Oryctolagus cuniculus: one gene and its partners. The protein of the gene in region 4 interacts with the protein of the main gene of each other region in a biochemical or structural test. Links are inferred from orthologs where the notes say so. Each region holds a gene or a part of one and is shown on either strand. Other genes may lie near its edges. The genes, in order: ARFIP2, ARHGDIA, PAK2, RAC1, ARHGAP32, BIRC2 and ARHGEF7.

Region 1 (4,228 bases), on a different chromosome or scaffold from region 4:
TAGATAAAGTTCCAGAACACCCAGAATTCTTAACAGATTTCATCTCTGTTCTGTATCTCCTGACTTCGTAAGGAAGCGGTACCTAAAATCCCTGTGGATGTTGATCTATTGTTCATACACACACACACACACACACTTCCTTTCCCTGGAACCAGCAGAATTAAGACACAGTCCACAAAAACAGTCACATACCAATCCACATTTGACTCACAGGTGCATCTTTTAAGGCAGACTTAAGCATGGCCAGACAGGGCTCCCATTTTCTGCCATCCGGGAAGGAAACAATTCTATTGTTACTACCGACCTTGATCTTGTCCCTACAGAGCCTGACTTAACCAGCTGCCTGAACACCAGACATTTTCCTTCTACATATAGAAAACACTTCCTCAGTGGTCAGGGCTGAGGCCAGCAGATATGCACTAAACGACAGAACAAAGGATGGTGCCTACAGTGAGCAAAGGTTCCCTGCCCATAATATAAACCAAACAGAGTAAAAGGTGGGTTTATTGGCTCCAGGAAATGGAGCAACGGTACCCAACTTTCAGGCAACCCCTCGTGCAGGCTTCACCTAGTCAAAGTCCACAGGGTCCTTCAATCTGAGGGCCCATCCAAGGCCTTCCCTTTTGGGACTGGGGGTGGCTAGCTGCTGGACGGTGAGCCTGCAGGCTGTTCAGCGGCAACACCCGGCACAGCTGAGGCAGCCTCATAGTCTGCGATGCGGCGCTGTACCAGGGCAGGCATGAGCTGCACGTAAGCGGCCATGAGGCGGTGGTTGGAGTGGATCAGCTTCCCAGCACAGCTGTGTAGACAGGCCTCCTGAAAGGAAAACAGAGGGGTTAAGTAGAGGCCAAAGTGGTCCCGTTAGGCCCGGCTTCGTCCTTCCCCAACCGCAGCCTAGGGGTGAGGGTGGTGGGAAGGCCAGGCCGGAGAGGAAGGGGAAGGGGGTGGAGGAGGCAGACGACCCGTAACTGAGGATCGAGGGTAACGTCCCTACATAGTTGCCCACCTCCTCAGCGTCCAGGGCTCGGTGGTGCAGGCTGGGCACACAGCGCTGAAAGCAGAGTTCTGTCATCCGATTGTAGACCAACAGGAAGTCCCGCAACTGGAAGAAAAGGGGACCAAGAACTCAGCGATATGGGCCCCATACCTCAAGGCCCCGCAGCCACAGGCCTCCCAGGACCACGTTTCATAGCCGTTTGTTCCCAGCCTTGGCATCCCTGGCTCTCTGCAGTTCCTGCAAAGCGAGCTCACGGCACGGCTCTAGGGCGACTTAGCAGCACTCACGTTTCTCAGTTGTTGCTGTTGCTCCATCCCGCCAGGCGCTCACGCCCTACGTCACTTCCGTTTCAAGGTCTGGGTACCGCCCCGGAAGTAATCTCTCGTCGCTCCCCCGCCCTCCCCCCCACCAAGGACTAAAGGGTTGGCCCCAGGATAGCCCTGCCCCTGGCTGCTACGTCACCTCCGCCCTTAGAATCTGCGACGTGGCCAGCTTCTTCTGCCCGGAGAGGCCGTCACTTCCGCCGAGTCCCTGACCTGCTGCTAGGATCGCGACGGGAACTGGAACCGGAGGTCCCCGCGCCGCTCGGGCCTGGCGCCCTGAGGGGAAGAGCTGCCCGGCCCGAGGTGAGAGGGACGTGCCTGGGCGAGGGGAAGTTGAATGCACGGACCTGTCCTGAGGGCAAGATGCCCCTGAAAGATAGGCAAGGATGAGGACACACCTGATGCCCAGGTGTGTCGGGGGGAGGGGAACAGGGACTCACACACCTGAGAGACACAACTGACTTTGGAAGGGATCACCTTTGCTCTGGGGAAGAGAGGCTTTTACCAGCGACCAGCTGTTTCAAGCGAGGCCTGGTGCGGAGGGCCCCTGGAAGAGGAGGTGTATGAGATGGAGGGGGGAGACCACCCTGAAGGAAGAGGGAAAGAACATTTTAGGAGTATGAAAGGCGGAGCAATAGAGAGCATACCTGAGTGGGGAGAAAGCACTGGAGTGCTGGAAGGGGGCTTGGCTCCTGCTGGGAGTAAGCGCACCTGCATGGGGCTAAGTTCCAAGAGACCGGAGACTTTATCTCTCTTGTTCAGTGCTGTGTTTCCATTGCCTCAGATAGTGGCTGTCACATAGTAGGCACTCACTAAATGTCTGGTGAATGAGTGAATGCATGAACAAGCACCAGGTCCTGAGGTTGGGAGGTGGGGAGGCTGTGAGAAGACACCTGAGGCTTGGGTGTAGGTGTGTAGAAATGTGCGCTTCGGTGGGGGAGAAATACATATGCCTGAGGAAAGGAGTGGTGGCTGAACTCCAGGACACTCAGCCTGGGACTACCTCTAAAACATGAGAAATGGCAGGAGCGGACTCTCTCTTCCAGACTGCTGGCCACTTTCCAAAACTGTCTGTTGGGCTTTGCAGGGTGCTGGGGTGGAGACTTTGGCTCCAGCCCCTTCCCTAGCCATGACGGACGGGATCCTAGGGAAGGCAGCCACAATGGAGATCCCTATCCATGGGAACGGCGAAGCTGGGCAGCTTCCTGAAGATGATGGGCTGGAGCAGGTGCTTCTCTTTCATTCTTGTTTCAATTCGGGAATCCAGTTTATAAAACCTGGGCTCTCACCCCTATTCCAGCAACCTTCCTTAGCTTATCTACCTCACTTCATCCTTTTTACAAATCTTCATTCTGATTCTGTGCAGACTTCTCTAGTGTACTGTCTGTGGTGCTTCAATCCAAGCTTGTTCCCACTCCCACAATGCCTCAGCTGCCCCCCTCTTCTCTGGCCTATAGGACCTCCAGCAGGTGATGGTGTCAGGACCCAACCTCAATGAAACCAGCATTGTGTCTGGGGGCTATGGGGGCTCTGGTGATGGACTCATCCCCACAGGTATGAATGATCAGAGACAGGAAGCCTGAGTGGGGAGGGGGGTAGGAGTGGTTTGGAGGAGCATGGTATACAAGTGTATCTCGGAAAGCTTGGGAACTTCTGCTCATACAAACCCCATAGAGTCCTCTCAGCCCAAAGCCAGCTCCCAGGGTTTGCTGTCGGCTTCCCACTTACCAGTTAGCCCCTGACGTGGCATTTTTGTCCTTTCCCTGCTACAACCATCTGAACCAAGTTAAGACTTCTGGTTCACAAAAGTTCTCCTGCTCTAAAGCTTAAGCCTAATTTGGAACTCTGTGAGGCTTCTCAGTTTTACTTTAGACTCTAAAGTTTAGAGGAACAAACAGTCCCGGATGTCACTGACTGGGATTCCACATGGAGATGCCTACCAGATTTCCAAGGACTCACCATCTTTGACACCCCACCCCCAACACAATGTATTTTCTTGTTGTCCCTGCCCTGCATACCAGCAACACTCCTCCCAACCTCCCTCTACCCCAGCACACACACACACACACACACACAAAGGTAGCCAAATGTATATTGGGATTGGATTCTCAGGGCATGAGGTACATACATGTCCCTTCTAGTGAGCAGGAGAATTCAGTTGTCTCAAGCTTCCTTAGGGAAGTCATTTTCATGTGCTGGAAGGAAAGTATGAGTGAGGCCTTAGAGATGTCTGATTGTATCTGAGAGCAGCTGGTGTCAGAGAACTTGGTCCTTTAGGGTCTGGCCGCCATCCATCTCACAGCACCACTCCTCCTGGCCCTGGGGATGAAGTGGCTCGGGGCATCGCTGGAGAGAAGTTTGACATTGTCAAGAAATGGGGCATCAACACATATAAGGTGGGATTTAGCCCCTCTCCCTTCCCCAAAACTCCCCCTGGGTACTTTTTCCCCCAAATCCTAATATGCCATCTATGGCTGAGACTAGGAGCCTGGGGGTGCTGGAGTACGTACCTATTGGGAGGGAGGCAGGGTGCTAGGGTTTCTGACCTATTCCCTCACTTCCCAATCAGTGTACAAAGCAACTATTATCAGAGCGATTTGGCCGAGGCTCCCGGACTGTGGACCTGGAGCTAGAGCTGCAGATTGAGTTGCTGCGTGAGACGAAGCGCAAGTATGAGAGTGTCCTGCAGCTGGGCCGGGCACTGACAGCCCACCTCTACAGCCTGCTGCAGACCCAGCATGCACTAGGTGACGCCTTTGCTGACCTCAGCCAGAAGTCCCCAGAGCTTCAGGTGCCTCAGCCAGACCAAAGAGGGTTGGGGGACTGGGCCCTGGCCCTTCCAGACAGTCACTCCTCAGCCTCCCTCCCTCCCTCCCTCCTGCAGCCCACAGGGAGAACCCCTTCAGGG
Region 2 (4,291 bases), on a different chromosome or scaffold from region 4:
GGGTTCCAGCCGGCTCTGGCTTCTGACCCCGGACGGCCGTGTAATGACAGGAGCCGCGGGGTCCCGCCGCCCACGTGGAGACCTGGGTTGTTTCTGACTGGGCTTCGGCCCCTCCGCTGCCGTGAGCTCTGAGAAGCCGCACACCTCGGCCTTGCAACAGAGTATACACGGCAGGCCCTGTTGCATTCAATGTTTTTATTTGAACCAGGATAACTCCATTTTTTTTTTTTTTTTTTTTTTTTTTTTTTTGAAAATCAGAGTTAGAGGAGAGGTAGAGAGAGAGGTCTTGACCATCCGCTGGTTCACTCCCCAGTTGGCCCCAACAGCTGGAGCTGCGCTGATCCAAAGCCGGGAGCCAGGAGCTTCTTCCGGGTCTCCCATGCGGGTGCAGGGGCCCAGCACTTGGGCATCTTCCACTGCTTTCCCAGGCCACAGAGAGAGCTGGATCGGAAGAGGAGCAGCCGGGACTCGAACCAGCCAGAGCCAGACCCGCCCCTGGGTGTGGGGGGGAGCAGGGGAGGCAGTGCGGCCTGGGGGGGGGGGGGCAGTGCGGCCGGGGGCAGTGGCAGTGGCTGGAGATGCTCAGGCCCATTCAGTGTCGGGGCGTCGCCCTGCCGGCCTGCTCCAGGGACCCCTCTGTCCAGGGACCCCTCTGTCCGGCGCTCACGTCCATGGAGCCCCGTCTGCCAGGTCCGCCCAACCCTGCAGGGACGGCAGAGCTGAGGGAACCCCGAGACCTCCAGGGGAGGCGGGAGCAGCCAACCAGCGAGGGCCACGCGCCGGACTCCACCCAGGTCTCCGCCACGGGTGCCAGGGACCCCAGGTCTTGGGCTGTCGCCTGATCTCCCCCAGCCCATTAACAGGAAGCTGGATGGGAAGGGAGCAACCAGGACCGTCCCGAGTGGTGCTCGAGCCACGGTGCCGGTCAGCGCTGCCCCGAACCGGATTCCGGCCGAGGAGCAGCAGATGGGGGCCGCGGTCGAGGCCCCGACAGCTCCGGGGGCTGCACTGGGGGGTCCCGTGCCAGCCCCAGCCAGGGCGCCGAGGGGCTCGCCGACGCCTGCAGCAGCTGTCGGCGGGGCGGGCCAAGCCCCTCGCGTCTCCCGCGCGGGAGGCCTGGACCGTGCACCTGGGGAGTGAACCGGCGGGGGCAAGATCTGACCTCTCTAACTCGGCCTTTCAAATAAATAAATATTAAAGAAAGAAAAGGACAAGCTTCAGGCTCTAGTCCACCCCGGGGGTCCTGACGACGCCCCCCCCCGCTCTGCCGCTGCAGTGGGCAGCTGTGTCCCCCCGCCTGGCGACCCACAGGGCCGACCGCGGGGCCTCGCAGTGGCTGGCGCGGGAGGCGTCCTGGTCCCTCGGGCGCCCACCTCGAGGACCACGCCGCCCAGCGGGAAGCGCCCACGAGGCCCGGCCCGCAAGATGGCGCCCGCAGCGCACGCGCCCTGGCCGCAGCGCTCCCGCCGCGCATGCGCAGCCCCGCCGGCCCGCCCGCCGAGAGCGGAAGTCGCGTTGACCCCGGAAGTGACAGGCGGGCGGGCGGACGGACGGGCGGGGCGGCGGACGACGTTCGTCATCTGCTGCGGGAGGGAGCGCGAGAGCTACGCGGTCGAGCCCTCCGGTGAGTGGCCCCTGCGGGGCCGAGCGCCGCGCGGGTGGGCAGCGGGTCGGGCGCGCCGGCGGCGGCCGCGGCGCGGGGGAGGAGCCGCCTTTGTCCCGCCCGCCCCGCCCTGCGCCCGCGGCGGGTCTCGGCGGGGCGGGGGCTGACAGCGGCGGCCGGCGCGGGGCGGGCCCGGGCGGGGCGGCGGCCCCACGTGCGGAGGGGCCGCGGGCGTGGGCGGGGGGCCGCCCGGGCCCCGCGCGCGCTCCGGCGGCCCTGCGTGCAGGGGGCCGGGCCCGAAGCCCCCTCCCGGGGGCCGCGGGCGCTGCCGCCCCGGCCCCGCCCCGCCCGTCGCCCGGATTGCGGGCCCTGCGGAAGTGCGGGCCCCGCCCTGGCTGTAGCCCGCGGCCGCCGCTGCCGGCCCGGTTTGTGCGCGGGGCGTTGTGCGTGCGCTGCGCTCTGACCGCCTCCAGCCCCGCCCGGAGCGAGCCGGTGGGTGCTCAGGGTTCCGGGGCGCGCAGGGCGCTGCAGCCCCTCCCGGATCTCGGGTCCGAGCCCCTCGGCGTGGGGTGGCCCTCGTGCCCCGACGCGCGGGCGCCAGGAGAGGCCTTGCGGGCGAGGGCGGCCGCGGGACGCGGGAGGGCCGTGGTGGGGGAGGCGGCTGCCGGCGGCCACAGCCCTGCGCGCCCACAGGTGTGCAGGCAGCGAGCGGCGAGCATGGCTGAGCAGGAGCCCACGGCCGAGCAGCTGGCGCAGATCGCGGCGGAGAACGAGGAGGACGAGCACTCGGTCAACTACAAGCCGCCGGCGCAGAAGAGCATCCAGGAGATCCAGGAGCTGGACAAGGACGACGAGAGCCTGCGCAAGTACAAGGAGGCCCTGCTGGGCCGCGTGGCCGTGTCCGCGGGTGAGTGGGTGTGGCCGCGGGGCACCTGTCCGCCCTCGCCTGCCCCGGCGGCCGCGGCGGGCGGGGGTCTCACCGGCCGGCTCTCCCCAGACCCCAGCGTGCCGAACGTCGTCGTGACCCGCCTGACCCTGGTGTGCAGCACGGCCCCGGGCCCCCTGGAGCTGGACCTGACCGGTGAGTGGGCGCCCGCGGCCCTGGGTGGGGCTGGCTGCCACCCTGTTGCTTCCGCTAAGTGATGTGGTGCGGGGCTGCCCCCTGGCGGGCCCTGGCGGAAGTGCGCTCGTGTGCTCCCCGCACAGGAGACCTGGAGAGCTTCAAGAAGCAGTCGTTCGTGCTGAAGGAGGGCGTGGAGTACCGGATAAAGATCTCCTTCCGGGTAGGCCGGGCGCGCCGCGGGGGCGTGGGCCCGCTGACCCCGCTGACCCCGCTGACCCCCGCTGTGGCGCCCGCAGGTGAACCGAGAGATCGTGTCCGGCATGAAGTACATCCAGCACACCTACAGGAAAGGCGTCAAGAGTGAGTGCGCGTGGCCACGCCCCGCGTCTGGCCACGCCCCCGGGAGCGAATGGGGGCAGACCTGGGGAGGGGGCAGGAGTGGCCACGCCCCGTGGGAAAGGGTCTGGAGGGACGCCTGAGGCCACGCCCAGTCTGGTCACGCCCTCGGGAAGGGCGGGGCGCCGAGGCCACGCCCCGCGCCGCTGACCGCGCCCCGCGCCCCGCAGTCGACAAGACCGACTACATGGTGGGCAGCTACGGGCCGCGGGCCGAGGAGTACGAGTTCCTGACGCCCATGGAGGAGGCGCCCAAGGGCATGCTGGCGCGCGGCAGCTACAACATCAGGTCCCGCTTCACGGACGACGACAAGACGGACCACCTGTCCTGGGAGTGGAACCTCACCATCAAGAAGGAGTGGAAGGACTGAGCCCCCCCACCGAAGTGCTGACAGGGCCCCCGCGGCCCTCCCCCCTTGGCCCTCCTGCGCCCACAGGCCCCGCCCGCGGTGGTCTGCCGTTGCTGCTTCTGCCTGTGCTGCCGGGGGAGGCCCGGCCCGAGTCTCCCTGCCCGCTGTGTTCCCCAGGTCCCCCCCCACCGCCACGCCCGCGGCCCTGGCCCTTAGGAGGGAGCGGGGCGGCCGCGCGGGAGCTGGGGTGCGTGAGGCAGCCCCATCCACTCCCCGGCCAGTTCATCTGTCGCTCAGTACCGTCTAACCATGATGCCTTAACGTGTGGAATGCGTCCCGGGAGCTGCCATTCACTCCCCGTGTCTGCCCCGCCCACCGCCCCCGCGACAGGGGAGGGGCGCCAGTGCCGCCTCCCTGCCCCCCAGCCCCCTGGCCTGGCCAGCCGACCCCTGTCCCCCGGCCGCTGGGGCGGGCCACGTTGCCAAACGCCAGGCACTTCTGTCCCGTGGGGGGGGGGCAGGCGTCCCACACCTCCGCCTGCCCTGTCCCAGCGGCCAGCACTGACCCCTCCCCCGCAGAGCCCCCGGCAGACGGTGCGGCCGAGCCTTCCTGCTCTCCGGGCCGCAGTATTTATTGCCTCTGTTCGTGCCGTCCTGGGCCCTCCCGGACCCTGCAGGACAAACCTGGGACCAAGTGCACACCGCTGGGGGCCGTCCCCGTGCCTCCCCCCAGTCTCCGTGTGGCGTCTGCCGGGCTCGGCCTCCACAGCCGCAGGAGCCCCCGCTTCTCCTCCCCCAATTGGGAAATAAACTGCCCCGAGGACCCGCGTCTGCTCGGCCCTCTTTGGGGTGGGCGGTGACCACGGCGCGGGAAACCATGG
Region 3 (3,500 bases), on a different chromosome or scaffold from region 4:
GTGCGCTGTGGCCGGCGCACTGTACTGATCCAAAGCCAGGAGCCAGGTGCTTCTCCTGGTCTCCCATGCAGGTGCAGGGCCCAAGGACCTGGGCCATCCTCCGCTGCACTCCCGGGCCACAGTAGAGAGCTGGACTGGAAGAGGAGCAACCGGGACAGAATCCGGTGCTCTGACCGGGACTAGAACCCGGTGTGCCGGCGCTGCAGGTGGAGGATTAGCCTATTGAGCTGCGGCACCGGCCGAAATATTACTTTTAAAAATTGTACCTGAAAATTTTATTTTTCTCATTCTAAACAAATTTAAATATGGAAGAAAGTTGCCTATAATCCTGTAACTCCGATAAAACCACTATTACATTTTCATCTTCTGCTAAGTCTTTCATTCATATGTTGTTAAGTATTTAAAAAGTGGTTGTAGTAATATACATAATTTTCTATTCCGGTTTTTGTTCTATTATTCAACATTAATTCCTACACTAAATGAGAGGTTTTAAAAACATTATTTTCATTATTACTTGAAAGGAGAGAGACAGACAGACAAACAGACACAAAGAGAACAGTCAGCCAGAGTTTTCCATCCACTAGTTCATCCCCCAAATGCTCACAACATTTTTCCAGGAGCCTGGAACTCAAGTGAGGTCTCCCACATGGGTGGCAGGGATCTGAGTACTTGAGTAATCACCTCTGCCTCCCAGGGGCGCATTGGCTGGAAGATGGATCAGAAGCAGAGTAGGCAGGATACAAACCAGTGCTCTGATAGGAGATAACAGGCATTCCAAGTGGCAACTTAACAGCTGAGCCAAACACCCACACCTAAATGAGGTTTTGGTAGATAATATATAATTTACTCATGAAACCCAACCTTTAAGATAAAAATTCATAGAATATATGGTCCTTTGTTTAAATACCTTCTCTCATTTGCCATAAGATATCCCTGTAGAAAAATAAACTTTGAATCATAATGTGCTTTTACCTCTCCTCCTTCAAGTTTATTTCTTAGCTCTGACATTTTTAGAAAATATTTATTTCAAAGGCAGAGCTATAGACACACATACATGGGGTTGGAGGGAGAATGGGAGAGAGGTGGTGGGAGGGAAGGAGGGGGAGAGCGAGAGGGAGAGAGAAAAGAAGAGAGGGAGAGATCTTCCTTCCATTTGCTAGCTCATTCCCCAAGTGGCTCTAACAGCTAGAGCTTGGCCAGGCAGAAGCCAGGAGCCAAGAGCTTTTTCCAGGTCTCCCATATGGGTGCAGGGGCCCAAGCACTTGGGCCATTGTCTGCTCCTTTTCTCAGGCCACTAGCAGGGAGCTGTTAGAGGTGGAGCATCAGGGACCAGAACTAGCACCATATTGGATGCTGGCATGGTGGGGCTTAACCCACTGTGCTACAATGCTGTCTCCTGATGCATTTCTTTTCTTTTAAGATTTCTTCATTTATTTGAAAGGCAGAGTTGGGGGGGGGGGATTTTCTATCCACCATCTACCAGTTCAGTCCCTAAATGGTCACAATAGCTGGGGCCAGAACAAGTGGAAGCTAGGAGCCTGGAACTCTATCTGGGTCTCCCATGTGGGTGGCAGGGGCCCAACTACTTGGGTTATTTTCTAGTGACTTCCCAGGCACATTAGCAGGAAGCTGGATTGGAAGTGGAGCAGCTGGAACTCGCATGGAGTTCATAAGTGATGCCAGTGTTGCAGGCAGTGACTTAGACCACTCTGCTACAACGTCAGGCCCAGTACTGACATTTTTTTTTTTTAAAGATTTATTTATTTATTTGAAAGGCAGAGTTACAGAGAGGCAGAGGCAAAGAAAGAGAAGTCTTCCATCCACTGGTTCACTCCCCAAATGACCACGAGAACTGGAGCTGGGGCTATCTAAAGCCAGGAACCAGGAGCTTCTTCCAAGTGGCCCATGCAGGTATAAGGGTCTAATGACTTGGGTCTTCTTCCACTGCTTTCCCAGGCACATTAACAGAGAGCCAGATCTGAAGTGGAGCAGCCAGGACTTGAATCGGTTTCCATATGGATGCTGCCACTGCAGACGGCAGATTTATCTGCTACACTCCAGCACTGACATTTAACTGAAGCAATTAGCCCCTTCAAACCATGAAAATTAAAATTTCCACATTTTTAATTCCAATTACCTGTCCAAGAAGTTAACTATGTTGGGATTTTTTAACTCTTTCATCACCAGAATTTCATTAATGATCAATTCCTTCTTTGGCTGTTTCTGTAAATTAATCTGTTTGATAGCAACCTATAATGGAAACAGAATTGAAGAAAACTCAACAGATTTTCTAATCCTCATAGAAAATTACAAACAACAGTTAACAGTTTAACTTATTAAATACATATTATATTATACAATGAGATTGTAACTCATTCACAGTTAGTAATTCCACACTGCATATGCACAACTCTTTGCAATATACAGAACCTAAATATTTTTAGTTTTATCTTGACGTTGATTAACCAATCCAAATCAGTACAGCAGCAGGAATTAACCCTCTTTTCATTCCAAGCTAGGAAAATAATCTTTTAATATTTGTTTATTTATGATACTAAGTTATAATTCCTTTTTCCCCTGTGAGAAATGCTATAGATACACAAAGCAGGTCTCTTCAACTGGAAACAGACTTCTCTTGATTATTCTCAGCTTTAATCTAGTTTTCTGCTACATGGAAAGCTAATAACATTCAGAAGCATGAAAAAGTAGCTACCTCCTGTCCCAATGCCACATCAGTAGCAGTGAAAACTGTACCAGAAGCCCTAGAGGGAGAAAAGATAACAAGATTTAAGGTTTCTAAATCACTGTAATATCCAAAGACTTTACACTTCAAGAAGTCAAAAAAGGATTAAAAAACATTTAAGACATCACCTGTAAAAGAAATAAAAGTCAAAACAAAATCAAAGGAAAAGAAGATGAAAAAGAGGCAAGCCTTGTGACTAAAACTTATGTTTGAAATAGTTCAGAACTATAAAAATATTAGGGAAAAATGTAACCTAACTCATGAATACACTTCCTTGCTCAGGAAACAACTACAAATGACTGTGAAGGTTCCTGCCCATCGTTCCTGAAAGGCATCCTCCCTGCTCCCAGTGGTCACCTGTATTTGATGGCGTCATTTCCACACATTTCTCTAAACTGAACTAAAGGACACAGGGGTATATCTTTATAGAATATACTAGCACTCAGCCTGATTTTTAAACATTATACAGTTTGATTTTACACATTTTTCCTGCAACTTATTTTTTTAATTAAAAATTTTACAGTTATTTGAGAGACAGAGAGCAAGCACTCTCCCATCTGCTGCTTCACTTGCCAACTGCCTATAAAGGGACAGGGCTGGGCTAGGCTGAAGCCAGAGCCCAGAACTCAATTCAGATCTCCCGCGTGGGCAAACGGCACTCAACATTGCTTGTGTTATCATCTAGTATCTCCCAACGTCTACATTAGCAGAGAGCTGGAACTGGGAGCTAGAGCAGGGACTTGAACCCAAGAATTCT
Region 4 (3,985 bases):
CCGGGGTCTAGTCCCGGTCAGGGCGCCGGATTCTGTCCCGGTTGCCCCTCTTCCAGGCCAGCTGTCTGCTGTGGCCCGGGAGTGCAGTGGAGGATGGCCCAAGTGCTTGGGCCCTGCACCCCATGGGAGACCAGGAGAAGCACCTGGCTCCTGCATTCGGATCAGCGCGATGCGCCTGCCACAGAGCGCCGGCCGCGGCGGCCATTGGAGGGTGAACCAACGGCAAAGGAAGACCTTTCTCTCTGTCTCTCTCTCTCTCACTGTCCACTCTGCCTGTCAAAAATAAATAAATAAATAAATAAATAAATAAATAAAATAAAAAAGAAATATGGAGAGGGGCTGGCACTGTGGTGCAGTGGGTTAAAGCCCAGGTCTGAAGCGCCATATGGGCGCCGGTTCGAGACCCGGCTGCTCCACTTCCGATGTGGCTCTCTGCTGTGGCCCGGGAAAGCAGTGGAAGGTGGTCCAAGTCCTTGGGCCCCTGCACCTGCATGGGGACCTGGAAGAAGCTCCTGGCTTTGGATCAGCCCAGCTCTGGCCATTGCGGCCAATTGGGAGAGAACCATCGGGTGGAAAACCTCTCTCTCTCTCTCCATCTTCTCTCTGTAACTCTTTCAAATAAATAAATCTTAAAAAAAAAAAAAAAAGAAATATGATGGAATGAATACTGATTATGGCCCAATAATGGTATGGTTTCTTTTTTTTTCCTTCTTTATATAGCTTCAGCTTCGGAAATTTCTAGAAGGCCCTTATGTCATCGCCTAAGTGACAGTGACCATACACACAGGACAATAAAGAGGTGGGGGAACAACCCACGCCCTTCGGACGGCCGGGCCGGGAGTCGGTGACGTCAGCGCGGTTCCTGGAACCCCCGCCTCCCCTCCCAGTCCAAACCCGGCCGCGCCCAGCCCGCGGGAAAGATGGCGGCCGCCCCGCCCCCGCGGCCGGAGCCGAGCGCTCCCGAGCGCTCCCGAGCGTTCCCGAGCGCTCCCGAAGCCCCGAGGAACCCCGGGAGCCGCTCGGGCGGGAGCGGCCCCTCCCGGAGCCTGGGAGCGGCGGCGCCGGCGCGGGGGAGGGGCGGCCGGATGTGAGTGGAGCGGCCATTTCCTGTTTCTCTGCAGTTTTCCTCCGTTTTGGGTGGTGGCTGCTGCCGGGCTTGTGCCTCCAGTCCGCGGAGGGCGAGGCGGCGTGGACAGTGGCTCCGGCATCCCGCGCCCCGCCGCCCGTCGCCGCGCGCTCGCCCGCCCGTCGCCGCGCGCCCGTCCGCCCGCCGCTTCCCGCCTCAGCGCCCGGCCGCCGCCGCCGCCGCGGCCCAGCGAGCGGCCCAGATGCAGGCCATCAAGTGTGTGGTGGTGGGAGACGGGTGAGTGCGCGGCCGGGGGCTCTGGGGGGCCGGCGGGGGCTCGCCGAGGGTCGCGTGGGCGCCGCGCGGCCTCTGCGCGGGGCTCGGGCGGGCGCCCCTCACCCGCCGTCGTCCCGGGCCGGGTTGCGGCGTCCTGGTGGGGGGAGGGCCCTGCCGCTGGCCGGCCGCGGGCAAGAGTGGACTCCGCCCTCTCGCCGCCTTCCCGGGCCCGCGGGGCGGCCGGACGCCGCCCGCCACCCTGCCCGGCTTGGCACGGCTCTCGGGCGCCTGTGCAAATCATTTTATTTTATTTTATTTTATTTTGGCGAGAAGGGGCCGTTCCCTGGCATTTACCCTAAACCTCCTGGTCGCCCCCCACCCCCACCCCTCCAGCCCGGGGAGCCGGGGCGGGCGGCGGAGGTCCAGTGGTCTGAGTGACCGGAAGCCCAGCGTGCGGCCGCGTCGCTGCCACTTGTAACTTGGCCACTTGTGGGGTTCTTCGACATGGTCGGTGGCGCCCTTGGCGTGGACAAAGTTTGGAAGATGCTGTCAGGGGCCAGGTGTGACGGAAGCTGACCTCCTGCAATGTGGTCGTTATTTAAAAAAATAAATAAAAATAAAAATTAAAAAACCGAGGCCTTGGCTGAGCGCGGCAGGGATGGATGGAGTTCTTTCCAGGACCGCCCGTGGGGGTTACAGGCCCCAGAGGAGGACAAGACCGGTCTTATGCAGTTGTGTGTGTGTGTGTGTGTGTGTGTGTTTTTCCCTCCCTTATAAACAAGAATCCCAGTGTGATCCGAGCAAAATCGCGCGTCTCAGCATTGCTTGTGTAGCTTAGTGTGGGACAGGGACTCTCGAAGAATTACTACCAGTTTCACCCAGCTCTGAATGCAACTGGTCCAAGTCCAGAGTCGGAGGAAGAGTGCGCTGGACACCTCTGGTTCATATCCCAAAAGTGGCCTTCCGACTTTTATCTTTTTTTTTTTTTTTTTTTTTATGCCTCTTAGTGAATGTGTGATCTCTTAGCTTAGAGAACTGATGGGAGACGTTTGAGATTGTTTGTGCATTTCGGATGCAAGGAGGACAGTTAGGACACTGGTTTTTCTGGGGAGATGCATGTCTGTTGGATTCGTGTCACACGTGGGAAAGGTGAACCCTGTATAGTTCTACGTATTCAAATAAAAATTGTTAAATTTCATTTATTTAGGAATGTGTATGCTATGTTACCTTTTTAAAAGAAAACCTTACTTTGGCACTTGGGGAAAAGCGTTCGTGAAGTGGGATTGAAAATGAAGTCAGCGGATTATTTTAAGTGAATTCTTCCATGCTTTTGTGTCAGGCATCAGCAAAACGTCACTTTTTCTTAGGAACGTTTAAAATGACCTGGATTTCCCTTAAAAGTTATAAATGCTCCATCGATTATGCTTAGGATATGCTTAGCTCTCTTTCTAAGTGAAGTTGTGGTAATTCAGAACCGAGGGATGGAATGTAGTATTCTGACTTGAAGGTTTCTAAAGCAGGGACCCAGGGTGTTTGACACGAAGAGCTCCCAGCCCTCTCCTGCTGGTACTGCTGTTCCTTCCAGTGAATACTTGTTGAATGCCTGCTGTGTGTGTCTGTCCTGCCCACATCTCACCACTTAGTTGGGAGGTGTCTGAGAGCACATCACTCCTCCCCTCCCCCAGAGAGGTTCCTCCTTGGGAAGTTCAGTGAAATCATGCAGGGGGCTGGCTGGCAAGCCCCTCCCAGGGGCCAGGCCTCTACTGATTGCCTGGAAGTGACCAGGACCAGCACTGTGTGAGGCTCTGTGAGGGAGTATGAGTATTCAAAACACTGTTCCCGCCCTGGAATTTCCCGTCTGCTTTCTAATTTAATTTTTAAAATTTACTTGAGAGAGAAGAAGCTCCTACCCACCAGCTCACCCCCAACATACCTGTAACCAGCATCTGAGAACCCATTCTAGGTCTTGCTCATGGACAGGAGGGACCCAACTACATGAGCCGTCACCACCACTCCCGGGGTTCACACTAGCAGGAAGCTGGAATTGGGGCCTGCAGCAAGGAATCGAAGCCCGGCACCGCGCTGTGGGGTGCCAGTGTCGCAAAGGCTTGTCCCCACGGTATTTTAATGAGGGTTTGACATTTATGTTGACTCTTGACTGTCTTAAGTAGTATTGGAGTAAAGTGAACTTTTGCCAAAAAAAAAAAGTTACACTGTTACTCTCAGGGGTCATACGTAGCAAACATTTCTTCAGTAAAAATCCAAATCCCAAATTTTCCGTACCAAGAATATATTTCTGCTTTCGACTGGTAAGCTATATTCCTGATGATACTGCTGGAATGTTGTTTTATCAGATTGTTAAAGCTGTAAATATGGCCCCGAGTTTCAGTTAAAGGTGTTTAAACAGTGAAGGCAAAAGGTGGAGATACCACAAATTGGAAGCAAGCTGAGTTTTAACCATTTTATAACTGGGATCAGCTGGCTATTTTTTTTTAATTTAATTTTATTTATTTGAAAGAGTTCCAGAAAGAGGTAGACAGAGAGAGAGAGGTCTTCCATCCTCTGGTTCACTTCCCAAATGGCCACAACAGCTGGAGCCAGGAGTTTCTTCCAGGACTCCCACGTGGATGCAGGGGCCCAAGC
Region 5 (3,500 bases), on a different chromosome or scaffold from region 4:
GCCCCACTGCTGCACCTGCGAGCCGAGTCTGTCCCCGTGCACTCCTGTGGCTTTGCTGCACCCGTACCCCCTGCCAGGACGGCAGAGAGTAAGCTCGCTGCTGTCATGCACTCCAACAGTGCTGATGCCACCAGCAGTCCAAATTACCACTCCTTTGTCACTTCTTCATCGGCCTCTGTAGATGACGGGATGCCTTTGCCACCTCCTGTGCTACAGCCTAAGCATGCTGCTCAGAAAATAGTGTACTCCTCCTCCTTCGCTAGGCCTGATGTCACCACCGAACCCTTTGGTCCGGAAAACTGTTTGCATTTCAGTATGACTCCAAACTGCCAGTACCGTCCCCAGAGTGTACCTCCACATCACAATAAAGTGGAGCAACACCAAGTGTATGGTGCCAGATCAGAGCCACCAGCCTCTGTGGGGCCTCGTTACAACACCTATGTGGCCCCAGGAAGAAACGCATCTGTACACCACTCCAAGCCATGCAGCCGGGTCGAGTATGTGTCGAGCTCTTCTGTTAGGAGTACTTGTTACCCTGAAGATATTCCACCATACCCTACCATCCGGAGGGTCCAGTCTCTCCACGCACCCCCATCTTCCATGATTCGCTCTGTTCCCATTTCACGGACAGAGGTTCCCCCAGATGATGAGCCAGCCTACTGCCCCAGACCCCTGTACCAGTATAAGCCATACCAGTCTTCCCAGGCCCGCTCAGATTATCACGTAACTCAGCTTCAGCCTTACTTTGAGAACGGACGGGTCCACTACCGGTATAGCCCCTATTCCAGTTCTGCTGCTGGCTCCTACTACAGTCCAGACGGGGCCCTGTGTGATGTGGATGCCTACAGCACAGTGCAGCTGAGACCCCTCCACCGCCTACCCACTCGCGATTTTGCTTTCTACAATCCTAGGCTGCAAGGGAAGAGCCTGTACGGTTATGCTGGGTTGCCTCCTCGTCCACGGGCCAACATGACCGGCTATTTCTCCAGCAATGACCATCATGTAGTCAACATGCCGCCAGCTGCTGATGTAAAGCACACCTATGCCTCTTGGGATCTTGAAGACATGGAAAAGTACCGCATGCAGTCCATCCGGAGAGAGAGCCGTGCTCGGCAGAAGGTGAAAGGGCCTGTCATGTCGCAGTATGATAACATGACTCCAGCTGTGCAAGATGACCTGGGTGGGATCTACGTCATCCATCTGCGCAGCAAGTCAGATCCTGGGAAAACTGGACTTCTTTCGGTGGCAGAGGGCAAGGAGGGGCGGCGCCCAGCCAAGGTCATCAGTCCCGAGGGAGATGACCGCTTCTACAGGAAGCACACAGAGCCAGAGTTAGACAGAACCCACAGCCACGCAGGCTATGGCAGCGCGCAGGGAGAGAAACCCTCTCTCCCACAGAAGCAGAGCAGCCTGAGGAGCAGGAAGCTTCACGACATGGGTTGCAGCCTCCCTGAGCACAGGGCACATCAGGAAGCAAGCCACAGGCAGTTATGTGAGTCGAAAAATGGGGCTCCTTTCCTGCAGGGAGCTGGACAGTTAGATTACGGGCCCAAAGGAATTCCAGACACGTCGGAGCCAGGGAGCTACCATAACTCTGCAGGGAAACATGGCCCACCCGGTCCGGAGTCTCTGAGACTGAACCACAAGGAGGTGAGGCTTCCCAAAGAGCTGGAGCGGCCTCGAGCCAGGCAGCCTCCGGCCTCAGAGAAACACCCCAGAGACTGCTACAAGGAGGAAGAGCACTTCACGCAGTCCACGGTCCCACCTCCTAAACCCGAGAGGAGTCACAGCCTCAAACTCCATCACACCCAGAACGTGGAGAGGGACCCCAGTGTGCTGTACCCATACCAAACACATGGCAAGCGCCAGAGCAATATGACTGTCATGTCCCAGTATGACAACCTGGAGGATTACCACTCCCTGCCTCAGCACCAGAGGGGGGGCTTTGGAGGGGGAGGTCTGGGGACGTACGTGCCCCCTGGCTTTCCCCATCCACAGAGCAGGACATATGCGACAGCTTTGGGCCAGGGGGCCTTCCTGCCCACAGAGCTGGCCTTGCAGCATCCTGAAACACAGGTCCACGCAGAATGAGCCCTGGGAGCAATAGAGTTGAAGCAGTCTCTGCTGGACAGTGGACTGGTCTATTTTTTTCAATAACCAAAAAGATTAAAAAACAAAACAAAAAAAAACAAAAAACAAAAAAAAATGCTACAACCCCCTGGTCACATTTAAAAAACATAATAAAAGTAAACAAATCAGCATCTCCCCCCCCCCCACTTCCCTGCCTCATTACCACCTCTTCCATCTATAGACTGTATCATTTTTGTCTTTTAAAAGCGAGCTGAATGATTGTAAAGCATTGTGTTGGAAACTGAGTGAAAACTTTGTCAGAGACCACACTTGCCACATAGGGCTAATTTGTAAGAGCCTGAGGGCTGCCTATAGCTGAATTTGAACCTAACTCTCTCTTGGCTTCTTAGTCTTTGCTAGCAAGTCCAGAGCAGTTTGCATCTGTTTCCTGGTGGGCTCGGGCACTTACTGTTGTGTTCCCCCTTCTGCAGCTACACAGCTTGCCCAGTGGGATGCTCCACTCTTCTCCTTCATTAGCCCTGGCTGAGAAGGGGCTTGTGTGTTAGATGAGAGTGGGAGGAAGCTCTTTGGTCCTTCAGATCAATCAGTCAGACTATTAGAAGCATTACGGTAAAAAGGAAGGCCATCTTTAAATTAAACATACTCAAGAGTCATCATAAAACGTGGGACCGTTCGACTCAGGCTGAACTGTATGTTCTTCCCAGTCTTTCTTTTCATGCTTGTTCCTCACAGTTCAAGAACAGGCTCGTGCCACTGCAGAAAGGTTATTTTGTTTGTTTGTTTGTTTAAGTTAGAATTTAAGGAAACTTCTTAGGTGGGAGAAAGTGAAGCTCGCATTGTCATTGCACTGTGTTAGCACCAGAAAGCTGTTGTCAGTGCTTTGAATGCCTTGCCTGTCTTCAGGGGTTTCATGCTCAACAATGTTTGGTAAATGAGAATCTCAATGCAAATATTTCAAACCCCATTTGTTCTCCTAAATTAGCAGCTTGTTTTTTTTTTTTCTTTAATTAAAAAAAATCAACATGGTTTGGATAAACCTGCATTATTTATCTTGGCCGTAAATTTACATGTTAAATTTTGTTTCTGAGCCAGGATACAGGATCCCTGGGAATGTAGCTGTGTTGTCTGTTAGGAAACTGCTAGTTCCCGCAATAACCACTTCTACACAGCCCCTCTTCAGTGGTTGGCTTTCCCAGGCAACTGCCATTTATGTCCCGAGCAGGTACATAGACTTCACTTCCTCTGGGCTTCTGAGATCAGTCTTAACATAACTGTCATTACACCAGCATTTCAGGTACAGCTCTTTATAACTTCGTGGACATGTGACTCTGTTTTGAAAGCTTCATTCCTTATTATAGTAAGAAAAGGACACCTCTCTAGCTCAACTCCATTCTGTTTCCTGAGTCCAC
Region 6 (4,196 bases), on a different chromosome or scaffold from region 4:
CAGTGTAATAGAAACCAGCACGAGCAAGACTCCGTTCTGAGACAGGAACACCGTTGGGGAAAGCTGAGTAGGTAGACATTCTGTAGAGTTCGCAAGAGAAGTCATACTTCATTTTTTGTTTGTTGTCATTTGTCCAAGTTGACAAGATGGTGCTGTCTTCCATCATATTCTGAGTTCTTCAATACAGGGTCCTTGGGACTACTCTTGGGGAGGTAGTTTTGTGCATGAGTAGGTGACAGTATTTCTTGATGGCTAAAACCTTCACATGAAACCTCTCATCTCTTCAGAGACTTCACCACAGAAAGGAATCAAATGACTGGTTGACTTACGCAGAATTCACCACACCTGACTGGTGAGCTTATGGTAAGGTGGGATAAATAAATCTCCTAAATTACCAAGATACTCTTAGTATTCTTCAAGATTGTATTCACTTTTAAGTAACTAAAGAGCTATTTACTCATTGGTATAACAATAATGTAACGGCCTGAAAAAGTTCACGCACTTGGGAAATGTTAAAACTTGATTTTTCTAAGAGGTTTATATTTTCCAAATACTAAGCAACTACAGATTATCTCAATTATGACTCCAATTCGCTTTTGGTTATAAGCTATGAAGCTTGGACATCAGGCCAATCACTGATTATTTCACAAGAGAAAAAAATCTATATGCAGGATTGTTTCCCTGTAAGCACCTTACTATGACATCCAAATTTTTTTTCACTTTCTTCTAGTAAACAAAAGTAATTAAAAGCTTCATTTATAAAAGTCACATTATCTAAAGGCTAATTTCACATAGCTTATCGTCATAGTATTTACTTAAATAGGTTTATTAGCTTCAGTTAACAATTCTAGGGTTAAGTTAGCATCCACCAGGTTTGTTCAATCTATACCTAGTACAGTGTGTATGATTATCAAATGATTTTTTGCTTAAAGTTCACAAGCTATTAACTCCTCTATTTTTGTTAAATATTACCTGTACTTGTTTCCATTTCCTGTAGCATGTTGTCTTTCTAACTTTGCACGCCACTTGATTATGACTGATCAACTGCCAGTACTTTCTTCATAAACTTAACTAGTTAACCATAGAAAGTTCCACAGTACACACTCTTTACACTGCATTTAAAAGTTAACCTGCTCTTTTTTTAAGGACAATTCAGCTGTAATATCAGTCATGTTGTAATTGAGGATGAACCAATTTATCAAAATACACAGCTTGTCCTTTCTAGTGTTATCACAACAGAATTACTGATTCCACATAATAGACCAGTGCTGAACTCCCAGCCTTCGTTCTGAAAACTCAACACTTTTAAAATTTAATTCATACATAAAATTACACTCCATAGAATTCAAACTATATTCCTTTATAAAGTTTCAGGGTCTCCATAGTGGGATTTATTATCTTCAAGGGGAGAAAAAATGGGGGACAAAGAGACTCTTCAGAGCCATAAATCTGAAAAGAAAGAAAAGGTATTTTAGAAAACTATTTGCATGCCACATGAAGCTTACAGATTATGCAATTTATTCAGTGGAGTCTGACTGACACTTTAGACAATATGTTAATTCCAGCAATCTGTCACCAAAACTTTCTAATTGGACATGCTCTTAATTTAAATAAATGCAAAACAGCTCCACAGCATGAACTATATCCATGTCTTTACAATGTACAGCGTCAAAGACAATTCCACACGTGGAAACACTGTCTTCAGTCTCCTCCCCTTTTCTCACTTCAGGATAATTATCTCGGGCACTTTGGTGGAGGCACAAAGGGACAGAACTGGAGACTCCATTACTCCCTGTCTGCAACGGGGCTAGCAGAGACAGATCCGTAAAGCGATTTTTAAATGTTAGGTCTTTCCAGGGCTAGAAAAACCAGCTGGTCTGGTGGGGCGTTAAAGACATCAGGAGGAGCTCATTAATACAAATCCTTAAACCATACCAGCTGCCTCGCAATTCCAAAGCCGCCACCACTACAGACAGCCAACTCGAAAACAAACAGTAACATAATAGTCCCTGCAACCCTGGGCCTGGCACTGTGACCGCTTGCATGAATGCACACTTTAATTACACCATGTCTCGTATCTTTAAATTTTAGCTCTTTATCTACAAGCAGCATATTGCTACTTTTGATCTCTTTAAGCAAGCTGTAGGTGGGCAGGGGATAAACTGGAAGGGAAAAGAGGAGAAACCGTGCGGCTTTAGCCATTAATTTCTAGGAGTTATTTCAAACAACACACAACAGACAACCACCGCAGCAGCGGACCGCAGAGCCTTGCAAAATGTGAGCTCTCGCGTTCCCACGGACCACGGAAGCCTAAGTTTACAAGTGCGCAAAAACTCCCTAGAGCAACTATCTTGATCAAAGTCCAAAGGGCAGTAAAGCAGGCGGCGGCCAGACTTGAAAACGAATCATTTAAAAAAAAAGCAGCCAGTCTCGACTGAAAGTCTTTTGAAGTTGGGGCTTCCGAATTAAATACAAGCCTCGGCGCGGGTAGAAACCACACAGCCCACGGCGCCCCAGGCCCCGTCCTCCCTCGCCCGGCCGCAACACCAGGGAAGTGGGCCCCCGCAGGCCCGCGCCCCGACCCGCCCCGCGCGGCCGGCCCCGGAAGGAGCCGCACTCACCGCATCGCCAGCACAGCAAACAGGGACCCAGCTCGGGGGCCTGGAGGCCTCCGCACAACAGGAAGGCAGTGGGGCCGAGACCTCAAGCGGCCAAACCCGGCTCTGCCGGCCTGCGGCGCTCCCCAAGCCCCCTACCCCGGCGGGGCCGACGCGGACGCACGGTGACGTCAGCGCGTCCTGCGGGTCGCCCACGTCCCCCGCCGCGCGAGGGCGCCCGGGAGTCTGCGGTCGGAGAGCGGAACGGAGCGCTGGGTCACCTCCGGGAAGGAGGCCCGGAGGCCCGGGGAGGCCCGGCGCGGCCCGGCGGGTCCGCCCACCTGGAGCGGCGCGGTCGTTCCGCGGGGTGCTGCGGCTCGTTCGCCTGAACTTGGCGTTTGCACGTTTTAGCCGCGTGGTTGGCGCCCCTGTGACATCTGCCTCTTCTCTGCCGCGGACGTTCTCCTGAGGGGGACGTGGCAGAGCGTGAGCGGTTGCGTTGGAGGCTCGGGAAACCCTGCGGAAACGCCCTGGCGCAGGGACTGCACGTCGCGGGCCGCCCCCTCGTTGGGTCCGGGCCCCCGCGGGACTCTCGCCGTGCTGCCCCTCGTGCGTGTCCCGCAGCGCAGCCCGGGAGCAAGCCAGGGTGCACAGCCGAGACATGCAGCGAGGACGGCGTCAGGAGATTGCTTTTGAAAACTTGAAGCTTTTTTTTTTTTTTTTTTTTTTTTTTTTTTTATCAACCAGCGTTTCTTTTTTTAAACTTTCGGTTTCCTGCTCTGGAGACAGGCTCCAGGGGAAGAGCTGTGTTTTATTTCAAATGTGCATTGTTAGCCACGAGAGTCAGGCTTCAGTCCGAGGATTTGCTGGGTTTGAATAAAATGGAACGTATACGTTATGTACGTGCACACATATACAGGAAGCGCCAAGGAGTTCACTTACGAAGACAAAGGATTTTTTTCCGTATGGGGACGTGATGGAACACGCGTAAATAAACCTTGGTTGCATTAGCCTGGGCCATTTGGCTCTCGTCCTCTGCGGCGTGGAATGCGGCTGCGCTCCTGGGCCGTGGGGTACATGTTGTATCGCGGTGTCTGTGAAAATAGGCTTTGTCAATGAACTCAGATGCTTGCTTCTTTCCGGGGAACTCCAGGGGCAAACATTTCAAAAACTTCCAAATAAGCCACTTAATTAGGCAGCCAGGGGAATTCCAACACACTGAACCATTTCCCATTTCCTGTCCTGTCATTTCTGCCTGCCAGTCAGTCACAGAGCAGGAGGTCCTCTGTTCCATGGTTGGTAGTAAAAAGAAAGTGTGATAGAGGAGAAATGCCACGGCTCCCAATGACTAAAAACTTCCAAAAATGCACATGGGTCTTGGTAGTAGTTTAGTATTTAGTTCAAGTTATGTTTCTCGGAAAGTTACAAAACATTCCCAAAATATGTGGGAAAAGTATATAGCAAGAATTGTTCATTCTGAATTCAAGATTATTTCTCCTTTTCAGTTCTTGTCCTGACCAAAAAAGGTAATGAATGTACTTCTGTAGAGGGGGAAATTTTGCATTTCAAAAGCCTTAGATATTTTTCCCCAAAATATTT
Region 7 (4,276 bases), on a different chromosome or scaffold from region 4:
CATCCTTTATTTAAATTGTTTTTTCAACAGATTACTTGGGTACTTGGCCACCTGTTACCGTGTGCATTAGCAACCAAACCTTGGCATTTCTGCTTGCGGCATTTGTCGTCCAGTGGGTCAGTCTGGAGGTTCTGATTGATCCGTCCTCAGTGTAGGTGAGCCCTGCTCCCTCGTGTTTCTGCCCCAGTTAGCATCACTTACCAGAGTGAGCAGAGAGTATAGCAGAGTGAACAAGAGACGGCTGCCGTGTGAATAGAATAAACCAGTGGTTTCCACGCAACTGAAAATCAGGCGAGGGCGCGGGGCCCTCGGCGCAGAGGTGCAATGCTGCTGGACACCCGCGTCCCACGCTGGGTGGGTTTGCGTCCCGGGTCTGGCTCCTTATTCCAGCTTCCTGCATCCGGGAGGCCGCGCTGGATCCCAGTCCTCCGAGCACCCCAGCGTGCGTGTGGCTGGACCTCGGAGATGGTCACGGGGAGGTCCACTGCTCCCGGAGGCTGTCCTGTGACCGCTGGCTTTTTCCCATGTGCGTCTCTAACACTGCATGGTGCAGGCGCCTAACGGTTCCCTTGCGGCCTCCCTTCCTGCCCTGCACTCCAGGCCCTGTCTGGCCTCCCTGGACGCAGCACGGACTTGGAGAGATACTGCCTGCATTTCCAAATGTTCCCGAAACTTAATTTTCTTCTAGAGAAGCAGGGTCGGCATTATCTGTGCTGTCCCCCGCCGCGCCCTCCCCGGAGATGGTAGGAAGCCGTGTCTCGGCGGCGGCGGTGTGCCGGTGGTTTGCTCTGTGGTGCTGGGATTCATCGGTCTCGTCTCTTGTTCCCATCACTCGCCTTTGCCGTGCTCTGTGTTGAGCTGCCGGCTCTCGGGGTGAGGGTTCCAGTGGAAAGCACACGGCTCCCCAAACAGCGGTGGTGGAGGGGGCTTGAGGAAAGCATGGCTGAGAAAGCCAGAGCGGGGCAGCGTGGGGGAAGGACGCCCTCTGCAGGACGTGGGAGCAGCTGGAGCCGCCGTGGCTCCTCCTGGGCTGGAGGAACAGTGGCGGCTTCCGTGGACCCGGCACCACCAGCGCTCTGTGGTAGTTTGCTGATTTGCCTGTAGATGTTTCCACCATGGCTGAATTCAGACTACCAACATGATAAAGCCCGGTGCAGGGCTGGGGCAAGACACGCACGGCACCCCTGCAGCCGCCGTGGGCTCCTTCTCCTGCATGCCTGGCCTCCTGTTGGCCGGACCCCCTGGAAACCAGGGCGGGGGGGGGGAGCCTGGCCCGTGCGGTCCCGAGGTCAGGGCCGGGGGAGCCTGGCCCGTGCGGTCCCGAGGTCAGCCGGCTGGTCCGGGGCTGTTCCACGTCTCTGCTCTCCCGACTTCCCCACCTGTAATGGAGCAGACTTACCTCAATTGTTTTCTGCAAGAACACTAAGGTTCTTTCACTCACCCTGTGGTAGGTGAGATCAGGGAGCCCAGTGGTTCGGGCCGTTTGGTGCACACTTGCTGACCTCCTGTGTCCAGTGAGGCACCTGTGGTTGCAGGTAGGGAGCCTGTGTCCAGTGGACAGGTGAGGTGTGCCCGCGGTGGGCGTGCAGGCAGAGCCACAGGGTTCAGAGGAACGGGCTGTTGCTGGCAGCCCAGGGGGAGGCGACATTGCTCGCTCAGAGTTCAGCCTGCATGTCCTGCTAGTTCTCTAAGGATGGTCCCGGTACCATCAGAGCCTCCCAGGAACTTTCGAGAAAGCCAGTGCCGTGGTTTCCACCTTAGTCCGACAGAAGCAGGAGACTGTGATGTTTGGTTCCCAAACCTGCATGAAATTCAGTGTCAGATGAGGGATTTCAGACACAGACACACACACACACACACACACACACGATGCCTGGGCCGCACTTCCAACACACCCAGCCACATCTCTGGGGGCCCTGGGGCTGGCACTCATGGTAAGATGCTAGGATGCCTGCGTCTCACGTTGCTGGACCTGGATTCTCCCCCAGCTCTGGCTACTGATGCCGCTTCCTGCTAACGCAGATCACGGAGGGCAGCAGTTATGGTGCAAGTAGCTACGTTCTTGCCACCGGCATGGGAGCCCTCGATGAAGAGCCCAGCTCCTGGCTTTGGCCCCCTGCTCCCTGGCCGTTGTGGGCATGTGGGGAGTGAACCAGGGGTTGGGGGCTGTCTCTGTAGTGAAGAATTTCTGGGGACGAGGCTCCATGAGGAGGTAAGATGTGGTGAGCTTTGTCCATTTTCTGGTCTTAATTCTAATTTCTAAGGCAACACCGTGTCTGTGTGCTTCCCTGGCTTGTAACGCCTATTCCCCCTCTTGCACTAACGCTAACACCTTGCACGCACTTTCGAACCCTGGCCGAGGAATGGCACTTTGCTTAGACTGCGGCCACGTTGGTGGCTCCTGGTCCGGAGGCCGTGGTGCGTTGAGGAGGAGGAAGGGAGGCAGCTAAAGTCTGTCTTAACGTTGCTTTGTGATTAAGCTGGAACGGTCTTCTGCCTTAGTTCACAGAAGAATCCGAGTAGTTTGGGGACGTTCAGGGCCTCTGCCTGACGACAGTTCTTGATGGAAATCTGGGACAGGTTTCTGGGACGTGAACTGGGGGGACTTGCTCGTCCTTTGAGGCCCGAGTTCTTTGACCTCCTCTGGAGCCTGGAGCGGGGGAGCCCTTGCTGGGTTGTGAGTACTCTGGTGACGGTGAGCGTGGTGCCCTCCTTGTCCCTGGCATGTCGCCCTGCCACGCTCGACACTGCCCCTCTCCCTGTGACCCACTCTGCTGTGTGCGCATTGTTACCTGCGGCTTGAATCTGCAGTTCCCTGAGCATTAATGTGGAACGCGTCTTCCTGAGCTCACGGTGCAGCTTCTCCGGCGAGGTGTGAACATGGACTTTGAATTGCCCAAGTGCATTTTCCCCACTGCTGTTTCATCCGTGATCAATCATCTCCGTCCTTGAAAACACCTTGGATTTGACAGTGGCACACCTCTGATTGTGCAGGTCTTCCTGCCTCTTCCCTCTCCAGGCCCAACTCAGACGTCACCTTTTGCACTGGCCAAGCCTCTGGCCCTGCCCTGTGTCTGTAGCGTGTACATGTCGCTCCACTGTATTTCCATGGTCCCACGTGTCCATCTGGGGGGGGGCGCACTTGCTATGTAGCAGGCAAGTCTTGTCCGCCTCCTGGAAGGCAGTGACCTTGTCTCAGAACATGACCTGCTACGGAGTCCAGGCCCAATAAAATTGTTAAATTAATTACCCACTTGCTCCTCCCAATGCCCGTGAGAGAGGCTGGGTGTTAGCCTTAAATTGGAGATAAGGGCACAGACCCAGGGAGGTCGATGACTTGTCAGGTGACACGTGTGACACAGCTGGGTGCTGCTCATCATAAAGACTCTCGGACATTACAGGTATCAAACGAGTGCGCCCCCGAAGCAGCCGGCTGCACGTGGCTCTGTGCGGGGACACTTCAAGGGACACGCCGTCACAGGATGGTGTTCAGGACTCACAACTTGCAAATGCAGTTCCTGAAAACTGCCCAGCCTAGATGCCTGTGTCCAGGAAGACATGGGCTGGCTTGGCTGTCCACCTGCCCACTTCCCACTTGACATAGAAAGCTGGCCTTGCACCCATTTGCTGTCTTCATGAGGTGCTCAGCTGCAAGGCGGGACCTCTAGGCCGTGCACCACGTGAAGAATTACAGGTACCCACGATGTTGAGAAACCAGCCGCCTTACTGACCTGGGCTGTGCACCTCAGGGGTTTCCACTGCTTAGCTCTTCCAGGAGACCGAATCACGTTGTTAATTGATGACTTAAATCCGTTTCTTTACGAGAAAGTGTAGAAGGCCTCCAAGAATTAGGTTGTACCATGACAAACTCCCTTTCCATGTACTAAATTTTATCAACAGTGTTTGCATAAAGTAAACCCCAAGGTAGAAATACAGTAGGCCAGCACCGCGGCTCACTAGGCTAATCCTCCGCCTGCGGTGCTGGCCCCACCTGGTTCTAGTCCCCGTCAGGGTGCCAGATTCTGTCCCGGTTGCCCCTCTTCCAGTCCAGCTCTCTGCTGTGGCCCAGGAGTGCAGTGGAGGATGGCCCAAGTGCTTGGGCCCTGCACCTGCATGGGAGACCAGGAGGAAGCACCTGGCTCTTGGTTTCGGATGGGCGCAGCGCACCGGCCATAGCAGCCATTTGGGGATGAACCAACGGAAGGAAGACCTTTCTCTCTGTCTCTCTAACTCTGCCTGTCAAAAAAAAAAAAAAAAAAAAAAAGAAAGAAAGAAA

What was found.
Region 1: the proteins of RAC1 (region 4) and ARFIP2 form a complex in vitro, tested with the Homo sapiens proteins (2 studies listed by BioGRID and IntAct, with this or other methods). The link is inferred for Oryctolagus cuniculus from reciprocal best matches to the Homo sapiens genes RAC1 and ARFIP2.
Region 2: the proteins of RAC1 (region 4) and ARHGDIA are reported together in a solved structure, tested with the Homo sapiens proteins (2 studies listed by BioGRID and IntAct, with this or other methods). The link is inferred for Oryctolagus cuniculus from reciprocal best matches to the Homo sapiens genes RAC1 and ARHGDIA.
Region 3: the proteins of RAC1 (region 4) and PAK2 form a complex in vitro, tested with the Homo sapiens proteins (2 studies listed by BioGRID and IntAct). The link is inferred for Oryctolagus cuniculus from reciprocal best matches to the Homo sapiens genes RAC1 and PAK2.
Region 5: of the proteins of RAC1 (region 4) and ARHGAP32, one has a biochemical effect on the other in vitro, tested with the Homo sapiens proteins (3 studies listed by BioGRID). The link is inferred for Oryctolagus cuniculus from reciprocal best matches to the Homo sapiens genes RAC1 and ARHGAP32.
Region 6: the proteins of RAC1 (region 4) and BIRC2 form a complex in vitro, tested with the Homo sapiens proteins (2 studies listed by BioGRID and IntAct, with this or other methods). The link is inferred for Oryctolagus cuniculus from reciprocal best matches to the Homo sapiens genes RAC1 and BIRC2.
Region 7: the proteins of RAC1 (region 4) and ARHGEF7 form a complex in vitro, tested with the Homo sapiens proteins (2 studies listed by IntAct). The link is inferred for Oryctolagus cuniculus from reciprocal best matches to the Homo sapiens genes RAC1 and ARHGEF7.

Annotation. Positions count from the first base shown.
Region 1 is NC_091432.1:60,403,114-60,407,341, forward strand, and holds the start of ARFIP2 (arfaptin-2), read left to right. Parts: upstream 1-1,428; 5' UTR 1,429-1,623; intron 1,624-2,407; 5' UTR 2,408-2,449; coding exon 2,450-2,548; intron 2,549-2,777; coding exon 2,778-2,874; intron 2,875-3,597; coding exon 3,598-3,716; intron 3,717-3,889; coding exon 3,890-4,111; intron 4,112-4,228. Other genes in the region: TIMM10B (mitochondrial import inner membrane translocase subunit Tim10 B), read right to left, coding at 640-816, 1,007-1,102, 1,285-1,311. UniProt on the Homo sapiens protein: Plays a role in constitutive metalloproteinase (MMP) secretion from the trans Golgi network. May have important functions during vesicle biogenesis at certain cargo subdomains, which could be predominantly utilized by secreted MMPs, such as MMP7 and MMP2.
Region 2 is NC_091448.1:1,032,025-1,036,315, forward strand, and holds ARHGDIA (rho GDP-dissociation inhibitor 1), read left to right. Parts: upstream 1-1,491; 5' UTR 1,492-1,624; intron 1,625-1,964; exon of another isoform or gene 1,965-2,095; intron 2,096-2,296; 5' UTR 2,297-2,320; coding exon 2,321-2,510; intron 2,511-2,600; coding exon 2,601-2,684; intron 2,685-2,809; coding exon 2,810-2,886; intron 2,887-2,962; coding exon 2,963-3,026; intron 3,027-3,232; coding exon 3,233-3,432; 3' UTR 3,433-4,233; downstream 4,234-4,291. UniProt on the Homo sapiens protein: Controls Rho proteins homeostasis. Regulates the GDP/GTP exchange reaction of the Rho proteins by inhibiting the dissociation of GDP from them, and the subsequent binding of GTP to them.
Region 3 is NC_091435.1:83,327,796-83,331,295, reverse strand, and holds part of PAK2 (serine/threonine-protein kinase PAK 2), read right to left. Parts: intron 2,763-3,500; coding exon 2,714-2,762; intron 2,251-2,713; coding exon 2,138-2,250; intron 1-2,137. UniProt on the Homo sapiens protein: Serine/threonine protein kinase that plays a role in a variety of different signaling pathways including cytoskeleton regulation, cell motility, cell cycle progression, apoptosis or proliferation.
Region 4 is NC_091450.1:40,075,988-40,079,972, reverse strand, and holds the start of RAC1 (ras-related C3 botulinum toxin substrate 1), read left to right. Parts: upstream 1-1,185; 5' UTR 1,186-1,328; coding exon 1,329-1,363; intron 1,364-3,985. UniProt on the Homo sapiens protein: Plasma membrane-associated small GTPase which cycles between active GTP-bound and inactive GDP-bound states.
Region 5 is NC_091432.1:122,591,853-122,595,352, reverse strand, and holds part of ARHGAP32 (rho GTPase-activating protein 32), read left to right. Parts: coding exon 1-2,091; 3' UTR 2,092-3,500. UniProt on the Homo sapiens protein: GTPase-activating protein (GAP) promoting GTP hydrolysis on RHOA, CDC42 and RAC1 small GTPases. May be involved in the differentiation of neuronal cells during the formation of neurite extensions.
Region 6 is NC_091432.1:94,067,251-94,071,446, reverse strand, and holds the start of BIRC2 (baculoviral IAP repeat-containing protein 2), read right to left. Parts: upstream 2,801-4,196; 5' UTR 2,622-2,800; intron 1,450-2,621; 5' UTR 167-1,449; coding exon 1-166. UniProt on the Homo sapiens protein: Multi-functional protein which regulates not only caspases and apoptosis, but also modulates inflammatory signaling and immunity, mitogenic kinase signaling, and cell proliferation, as well as cell invasion and metastasis.
Region 7 is NC_091440.1:2,147,337-2,151,612, reverse strand, and holds the start of ARHGEF7 (rho guanine nucleotide exchange factor 7), read left to right. Parts: upstream 1-1,476; 5' UTR 1,477-4,276. UniProt on the Homo sapiens protein: Acts as a RAC1 guanine nucleotide exchange factor (GEF) and can induce membrane ruffling. Functions in cell migration, attachment and cell spreading. Promotes targeting of RAC1 to focal adhesions. May function as a positive regulator of apoptosis.